Nothobranchius furzeri: one gene and its partner. The main gene of each other region encodes a partner of the protein of the gene in region 2 in a complex. Links are inferred from orthologs where the notes say so. Each region holds a gene or a part of one and is shown on either strand. Other genes may lie near its edges.

What was found.
Region 1: tubgcp4 (region 2) and nme7 share a complex: the UniProt entries of both Homo sapiens proteins name them as parts of the gamma-tubulin ring complex. The link is inferred for Nothobranchius furzeri from reciprocal best matches to the Homo sapiens genes TUBGCP4 and NME7.

Annotation. Positions count from the first base shown.
Region 1 is NC_091756.1:61,680,154-61,683,719, reverse strand, and holds the end of nme7 (nucleoside diphosphate kinase homolog 7), read left to right. Parts: intron 1-2,022; coding exon 2,023-2,130; intron 2,131-2,631; coding exon 2,632-2,664; 3' UTR 2,665-2,750; downstream 2,751-3,566. UniProt on the Homo sapiens protein: Possesses an intrinsic kinase activity. Displays 3'-5' exonuclease activity with a preference for single-stranded DNA. Does not seem to have nucleoside diphosphate kinase activity.
Region 2 is NC_091749.1:30,376,682-30,381,190, forward strand, and holds the start of tubgcp4 (gamma-tubulin complex component 4), read left to right. Parts: upstream 1-1,587; 5' UTR 1,588-1,698; coding exon 1,699-1,776; intron 1,777-2,102; coding exon 2,103-2,231; intron 2,232-2,517; coding exon 2,518-2,640; intron 2,641-2,720; coding exon 2,721-2,774; intron 2,775-2,847; coding exon 2,848-2,904; intron 2,905-4,509. Other genes in the region: cdkn2aip (CDKN2A-interacting protein), read right to left, coding at 719-960. UniProt on the Homo sapiens protein: Component of the gamma-tubulin ring complex (gTuRC) which mediates microtubule nucleation.

The DNA of each region.
Region 1 (3,566 bases), on a different chromosome or scaffold from region 2:
CACACAGCAGAAGCTCCTCCAGACTTGTGTTATTTGTGGAGGTAAAACATTAATGTCACAGAGCAAACAGAATCAGTGGTGGTCATGTTGCTGTTATCCAATCAGAGGAGAGATGTCCAAATATCAGGAAATACGACTCCCAAGTCCTGCTGTGTCCCGTGCTGACCCAGGCATGCTGTTAGACGTTAGTGACGTCTGTACAACAGTAAACTATTCTATAAAACTTTTTCCTTTTTGCAGTTTAAGACAATGAATCGTACGGGTCGGGCACATTTGTGACCTTGAATTCCTTTTCCTGCCTCCAGTGAGCTCTCATGCTGTGCCAGAAGGCATCAACGAGGAGAGATTGTGATGCAGATTCTGCTTAAGTCTCTGATAATCACACGGTTTACTTCTCTTCATGTGTTACCACATTATTCTACATTTCTTCTGCTTTAGACCTTAGTTGTCTTGATGAATTAATTATTCACACGCGGCCCCTCCTTCCACGGAGGACCCCGTGGGAGGATTTCATTTCCTGGAAGAACAAAAGCAAGAGTCCAGCTTTGACCTTGGGAGGAGTTGATGTTGGAAGAAAATCGTTGTTTTTCCTGGAAAGAAGGGGCTTACAGTTAGTAAGCCAGTGTTAAAAAAAAGATTTATTAAATATGCTGAAAAAGATTTAATTTAAAAAGAAATGCAGAAAAACTGACTGATGGAACAGAGCTGTGAAAAGCGTTCACCTCGCCCAGATTCTTGTTTTTTCTCCTCTCTTAAGGGTCAACAAATTAATCTCCACGCCAAAGATCGACAAAATGGTTATCCAGGCTAACCTGGCTCTGTTTAAAAGTAACCGACTCCTAAACTTGTTCCAACACTCTTGGCAGCAAAAGCCACAATCCAGAGTTTATGAGAACTGGGAGTCGCTCTCATCGTTTTTATAGAAGTGTATTGTAGAAATGTAGAATGTTATAGACACATTGAAGCATTTTCCAGCATGTTTAAGGTCAAAGGTCAGACTTTCTGCCTAAGAATTTCCTGGAGCAGAAATCATGGTTCCATCAGTTAGCAAGGCAGCCACAGACCATCACACTACCACCACCATACGTTACTGGAAGCAGACCTTCTACAACGTTCCACTCATGTAGCATCATATGGAGTATTTTCCCATCACTCTTGGAAATCACACAGATGTCTTTTGGTAAATGCAGGCATGCCTTTGTTTTCTTTTAAGGATCAGTAGATATTTTGGCCTTGAAACTCTCACTTGGAGGCCATTTAGCTCCGTATCTCTTTATTGTTGGTAAATCATGACCTTAATCATAACCAAGTGCGGTCTTAGATGTTGTTCAGGGATTTTTTCCCCTTTTTAATCTCCTTAGATCAGGCCATGTTCTGTTGGTCTACTTCATGTTGTCAGACAGGCTCTACTGAAGTGATTTCTGAATTCTGCTGGTCTGACAGAAATCAGAATAGTGAAATAAACTCACCTCTCCAAAAATCATCATTAATTACAGTTAATGCGTGATTTAATGAAGAGGACAATTTATATTCTCAAAGATTCAGGTTGTTTGACAGATTTTTACCCACATTTGATCAAATCCTCGTTTTAAAACTGCACTTTGTGTTTACTTAGGTTATCTTTAATATTGAAAAGTGTTTGTTGATCTGAAACATTTGACTTTGACGTCACAAAAATCAACAGAAGAAATCTGTAAGGGGGATACTTCCTCGCAGGACAGTATGTACTCAGCTAAAAACGGTGGTATTTGAGTATAAAGCACTGATATTAATTTCCTCATACAGCCCATAAAAAGCTTTGCTGAGTGTGTTTTTTAGCTTGTACAGGATCACATGCTGAGCTGCTGAGTAATCACTGCTGAATTAACATGCCAGGGCACAGGATGTTCAGTTTCAGACATCATGCTCACCGTTTGACATTCAGACACAAAAGTTGCCGAGTCATTGCCAGCTGGGTGAAGCTGAAGGTGATTTGTTCTCGTTTTATCAGAGAAGTTATAACAAACGGTTTTCATCCAACAGGAAATCGCACGGCTTCTTCGTCCTAACACACTGCGTGCGCTCTATGGCACAGACAACGTAAAAACGGCCGTCCACTGCACGGACCTTCCTGAAGACGGCATTCTAGAGGTTAGTCTCTCACACGCATCATCTGCCCAGCGTTTCGATACGTTTCCATGCTGTCCTACAGTTCGTACGTACACAGCTACCTTCAGCCAAGAACAAAGCCCCCTCACCTCGCCTGTGACGCGGCGTCTTTAGACGGGTCTCATGACTCCAGTGGGCTGGGGCAACCTTACATCACACTGGTTTTCAGGAGATCAAGAATGGCAGAGGAATTTGAAACAAAACCATTGTTTTGCAGGCAGTGGGTCGGACCCGTCCGACGTCATTGTTCAGGAAAACTCCTGATCTGTAGCCTGGACAATTGCTTCCTTGTTGAACATTAGCCTGTGACTAACTAAGCAGCCATGTTCCCAAGACTGGGAACAGACTGACCAACAGAGCCTGTGTAGACCAGAGAAGAGTTAAAGTCACAGCTTCTGCTCTCACACAGCAGGCATGTTTGCTTTAGACATGAGGCATCCACTCTGCTGATGTGTGACCAACTCATTCCTACTCTTCTTCCAGGTGGAGTTTTTCTTCAAGATTTTGGATCGATGAAATCAAGAGAAAGTGTGACTATTGTTCATTCTTCTGTTTATTGTTTCAACCTCTTGCAGACTAAATAAAGAGACAAGAGCAGACTCTCGACAGGTGTTTTGATTTCCAACGTTGTATTAAGATTTTGTTTGCACACAAACTAAACATCGTATTACTACTGCACTGCCTGATGGTTTTAACCAGCGACTTTGGTATTATCATATACATTACACTTTGAAAAAAAATGTACAACTGCATAAATATAAAACTCTTCAACTATGAAAATGGCTAAAACATTCAATAGTTGCATCACACGAAGTGACGTCTCCAGCAAAACAGATTTCAAAGCACTGAGATGCCACTGTTTCCATGGAGGTGACAGTCTTCTTAGGCTGGACCCACAAAGCTTTACACTACGAATTAAAAATGATTAAAAATGAACAAAAATGTCAAACTATCTATTAGCAAAGTAAACGTGTACAAATGGATCTTTCTACAGCCAACCTGAATGTAGAAAGGCACAAACAAAAAGATGGAGCGTGGTTCTTTACTCCTACATGGGTCAGAGTACCATGCCAGTACTTCAGTTAGTCAGAGCACATTGACAAACACTCCATACTCGCATACAATAACATGCCTGCACAGACACGAGTGTGCACACGCACACACACACCTTGGACCACTAAAGCTGACATAAGACAAAGATAACAGGACTAGACTACAACTCTGGGCATTGCAGAAATCTATAGAAACCACGTGGGGATAAAAGACCATGGGGACAGAAGCGAGGCGCTACACATCAGTAGTGAAACTGCAGTTTTACAGTATTAGATGAACATCCCATGGCTCCTGGAATATTATACTTACAGTAGAATAAATATTTGCTATTGCTACTTCTTGTATTTTACATTCTAACTCTGGAC
Region 2 (4,509 bases):
TGTGTCTAGAAGAGAGAAGCATTAGTACTTTTTATGTTATATTATTTACTATGAAGGTGTTGCACAATACATTTGCTCTTTTAATACGGCTTGATTCAGTCTTGTGAAAACTCGGGACAGACTGTCAAACTGACAGATGTTAGACATCATTTTCAACTCTACAGTCCGTTGCAATTTGCAAAGCCTGCTGAACCTTTCCTCTGTAATGTACAGCTATTTGGGCTGATTTAGTAAAGAAGCTCAGAAAGGAACAGACTCCTATTGGGGATGTCTAACAAAACAAGAATAGCAAAAGATACACTCTGACTTTTAACAGTAAGAAATAAAAACAAATTGGCACTTGTATATCTGACACAAGAGGGCAGTAGACATGAAAAGACATGATATGGAAAGTGTTCAGTGAACGTACAAATCCTTATACTCCATCTGGATGCTTTTAGACCAGATGGGGTTTGTTGTGTATTTATAACTGTACTCTACCAGGGGGCATAACCTTAAGCAATGAGCTGTACTGTACATCCTTAGTTTATTGAAGTTTGATGATAACAACTTATCAATGTCATTTTAAAAGCAAAGTCCATTCAAATAGTCCAAAATAACCTGGGTTTCAGCACTTTGTTGATTGCATTCAATGATTTAATTTTATTTATTTATATTTTTTGTTGCATGTATAAGCAAAAACAAATTTGTGTGTAGCTCTGTCGGTGTGTCAACCTACTTGCAACCGAGGAAGACGTGATTTGCCCAGACCATGGACAGAGACAGCAGCCTGTCCAGGCTGCTGCTAGGGACCCCAGGTTTCACCGTGGGGAAAGCCTCCATGTTTCTCAGAATGAACTCCCTCCGAGCCGACCACTGCTTGTTGCTCTCGCAGTAGTCTCGTTGTGTGTCGATCCATTGGGCCAGCTCAGGGTTCTGGCTCAGGTATTCTGAGACATCTGCGCTCATATGCCCCGCCATCCCTGGTGGACAGACAGAGATTTCCAAAACTCGCATTTATGTTGGTTAAACACAAAGATCTGTACAAAGTTACATGTCAACAGGTCAACACAAAGCATGTACTGACTACACTGGCTTACTAATGGTTAATGTTTAAGTTGTTATTGTGTCTGGTTGATTAGCTAGGGTGACTAAATATTTTCATATTACTACGAAGTGACTCAAATTACCTGACAAGTTGAGCCGCGTAACATTAGCTAAACCAAACACCACGCAAAAACCTACAACACTGAGACCAGCCTTTCCACAACAACTAGCGAAATTTTCATTGCCTGTCAAGTCAGTATGGAGCCGTTTGATATAAAAAAAAAAACTACGACATACTAAGCCGTTTCTGTTACGATTCTGCCAGCTAGCTAGCTATTTGTCCAAATATGACGCAAGACCACGACGTAACCGGAAAACTACATTACCCAGAAGACAATTGTGCGCCACAAGTTGTTACGAGTGTTTTACGATTTTAGCATCAACACAGCCACCATTCGCTATTCAAGTGAAACTAACTTGCAGCGCAAAAACACACTGATTTATTTTGTGATAAACAATAAAAACAGACAGCGCAACCCCGTCTACAAAAACGTGACGCAACCAGTGCGTTAAACGTAAGAAACCTGCGACACCGTGACCGGAAGGCGCTGGTTTGTTTTTGTCTGAGTGAGAAGCTTTGCTGTGTTACCTGTTGTCACTAGATGAAAAAACATGATTCACGAGCTGTTGTTGGCGCTGAGTAGATACCCAGGTGCAATCTTCTCATGGAACAAACGAACAGGTCTACAGGTAAAAACTGACTGAGCAATGCCGTTTAAATGCTAGCACTCAGTAGCAAAAGCTTAACCTAGCTATTTACTTCTAAAATTACATTGCTTATCATATGGCTGTGTAATAATTTTTTTCTCACTCTTGGATGCTTTTTATAATTATTTTACCTTGAATATATTTGTTGCTGCACAGTTCTATTGATAAGAGATTTTCAATTAATTTTATTTCAAAACACCATTTACACTCTTGATTCCATTTTCACTTGCGATCAACCAGAGCTAGTTTATTAAAAAAAGATGCCAGTCTTTTCTCAGCGTGACATCATCTTTTAATTTCCTTTCCAGGTGTCCCAGGACCTGCCCTTCCTTCACCCCAGTGAGACCAGTGTCCTGAACCGGCTGTGTAAACTGGGCTCAGATTACATACGCTTCACTGAGTTTATAGAGCAACACACCGGCCATGTTCACCAGCAGGTTATTATCGGTGTCATGAAACGTTTGCATATGATTTAAACTTTTATTGCTCACAGCTTAATTTTTGAGTATCTCCATCAGCACAAATGTACTTTATTAGCTGGTATTTGATCACATCAAATCCAACACAGTTTATATTAAAATACAAAGAAAATATCCTCAACAAAACATGAAATAAATAAAATTTAAATTGAACTTTCCTTCAATTCTTCACGTCATTTAAAATACTTTTCAGTCTTTAATCCAGAACGAAGCCCCCTTTGTTTATACACAATGTATTTTGCAGGAACACCACATGAACCCGCTGAACCAGACGGGACTTCATGGAATTTATTTGCGGGCATTTTGCACTGGTCTGGACTCAATGTTGCAGCCGTACAGACAGGCCCTGCTGGACCTGGAGCAGGAGGTAAAACCATCAAACAGCTAATACCCGGGACTCATTGAACACATAAGAGGAAGCTCATTTGACCTGTGTGTTTGTTTCAGTTCCTGGGAGATCCACACTTGACAATATCTCACGTAAATTACAAGCTTGATGAGGTAATTCTGTAATAAAAGCTTAACAGTTGTTTACTTGATTCAAATCTGTCTAAAGCTGCATTTTTTATTGAAGTTTCAGTTGCTGTTCCCCTCTGTTATGGTGGTGGTGGAGACCATAAAATCACAGAAGGTAAGGAACGCTTAATGCATGAACTTAATAAAATGAAATGTAAACTCATTTTATCCCTCACACAAAAGCTGCTGCTGTTTTCTCACAAATATATGATCAGTCATTCCAATCCGACCCTTTGCACAGTATAAACTCTTCATGTTAGTGGGTTACCTCTGACTTTTGACTGCTCAACAGCATTTTTATTAATGTCAGAGCTAGACTTTCACTTAGATTCTTTTGCAAAATTGTTTTTACATTTAAGGACGTTGTCCTTCTTTAAATTCTTGATTGCTTCTGATAAAATTTCACTCATAGGTGTGACACCATGATTCTGTCACCACCGTGCTTCACTGATGAAATACTCAGAAACAGTTATTTCTTTCTTTCTTTTTTTTATTCAACCAATCAAAACATGTCCGGGTGTTATTTTTTCCCTCTACACGATCTGTATCGCACTGCTAAAAAGCAGACATGCCCCTTTTCTCCTTTTAGACCAAAAATGCTTTTTAATTCTACTCAGAGATCCTTATAAAGAGCTTTAAGATATACTCAGAAGTTTCTCTGGATTCTCCTTTAACATGATAGACTGTTAAGACATTAATCCTGGCTCCTTAATCCCTAATTCTTGGTCAAATTATAAGGGATTTTAGACTTTCCTACAGTTTTGTGCTTTTATTTGAAAGTAGACTTTACAAAATACCCAAAATGTAAACAAAACAATCTCCTTCTAATATTAAATCTGTAACTGAAAGAATCATAAATATAAAAGATAATGCTTTTGTTAAATTATTTTAATTGGACTATAAAGGAAGGTCAGATACCTCCCTCTTGGAAGGAGGCCATTATTTCCTTGATACCTAAGAAAAATAAAGATAGAAAAGACTGTATAAATTATAGGCCAATATCAATTTTGAACATAGATTACAAAATATACACCTCAATTATTGGGAAGCGACTAGAAACCTTTATAACAGATCTAATAGATGAGGACCAGTGTGGGTTTATACCAGGAAGACAAACACAGGACAATATTAGCAGAACTATCCATATATTCCATACAATTAATAGAACATAAAATTAGTTCAGCCTTGATGCCGAAAAGGCATTTGATAGAGTAGATTGGGGTTTCTCTATTAAACTTTGCAAAGATTTGGATTTAATGAAGATGTAGTTAAGATCATTAAGGCATTGTATCAGCACCCCACTGCTAGAATTAAGGTGAACGGCTCTTTGTCAGATCGTTTTGAGCTAAGTAGAGGCACAAGGCAGGGATGCTGTTTAAGTCCCACGCTTTTTGAACTGTATATCGAGCCATTGGCACAAGCAATTCGACAAGAGGAAGGGTTGAAAGGGATCGTAATAGGTGGAAATGAACACAAATTGGCTTGTTCGCGGACGATGTTATGTTATACCTCAGTGAGTTAGATACATCTCTTCCTAGACTTTTGGACTTATTAGAAAGGTTTAATCTTTATTCAGGTTACAAACTTAACATGGCAAAATCACAAGTTATCCACTTCAACTATACACCAGGAGAGGAAATTAGAAATAGATTAAATATCAATTGGAAAACCCAAGTAATAAAATACTTGGGGATAAATTTAACTAAAAAACAGAATTATT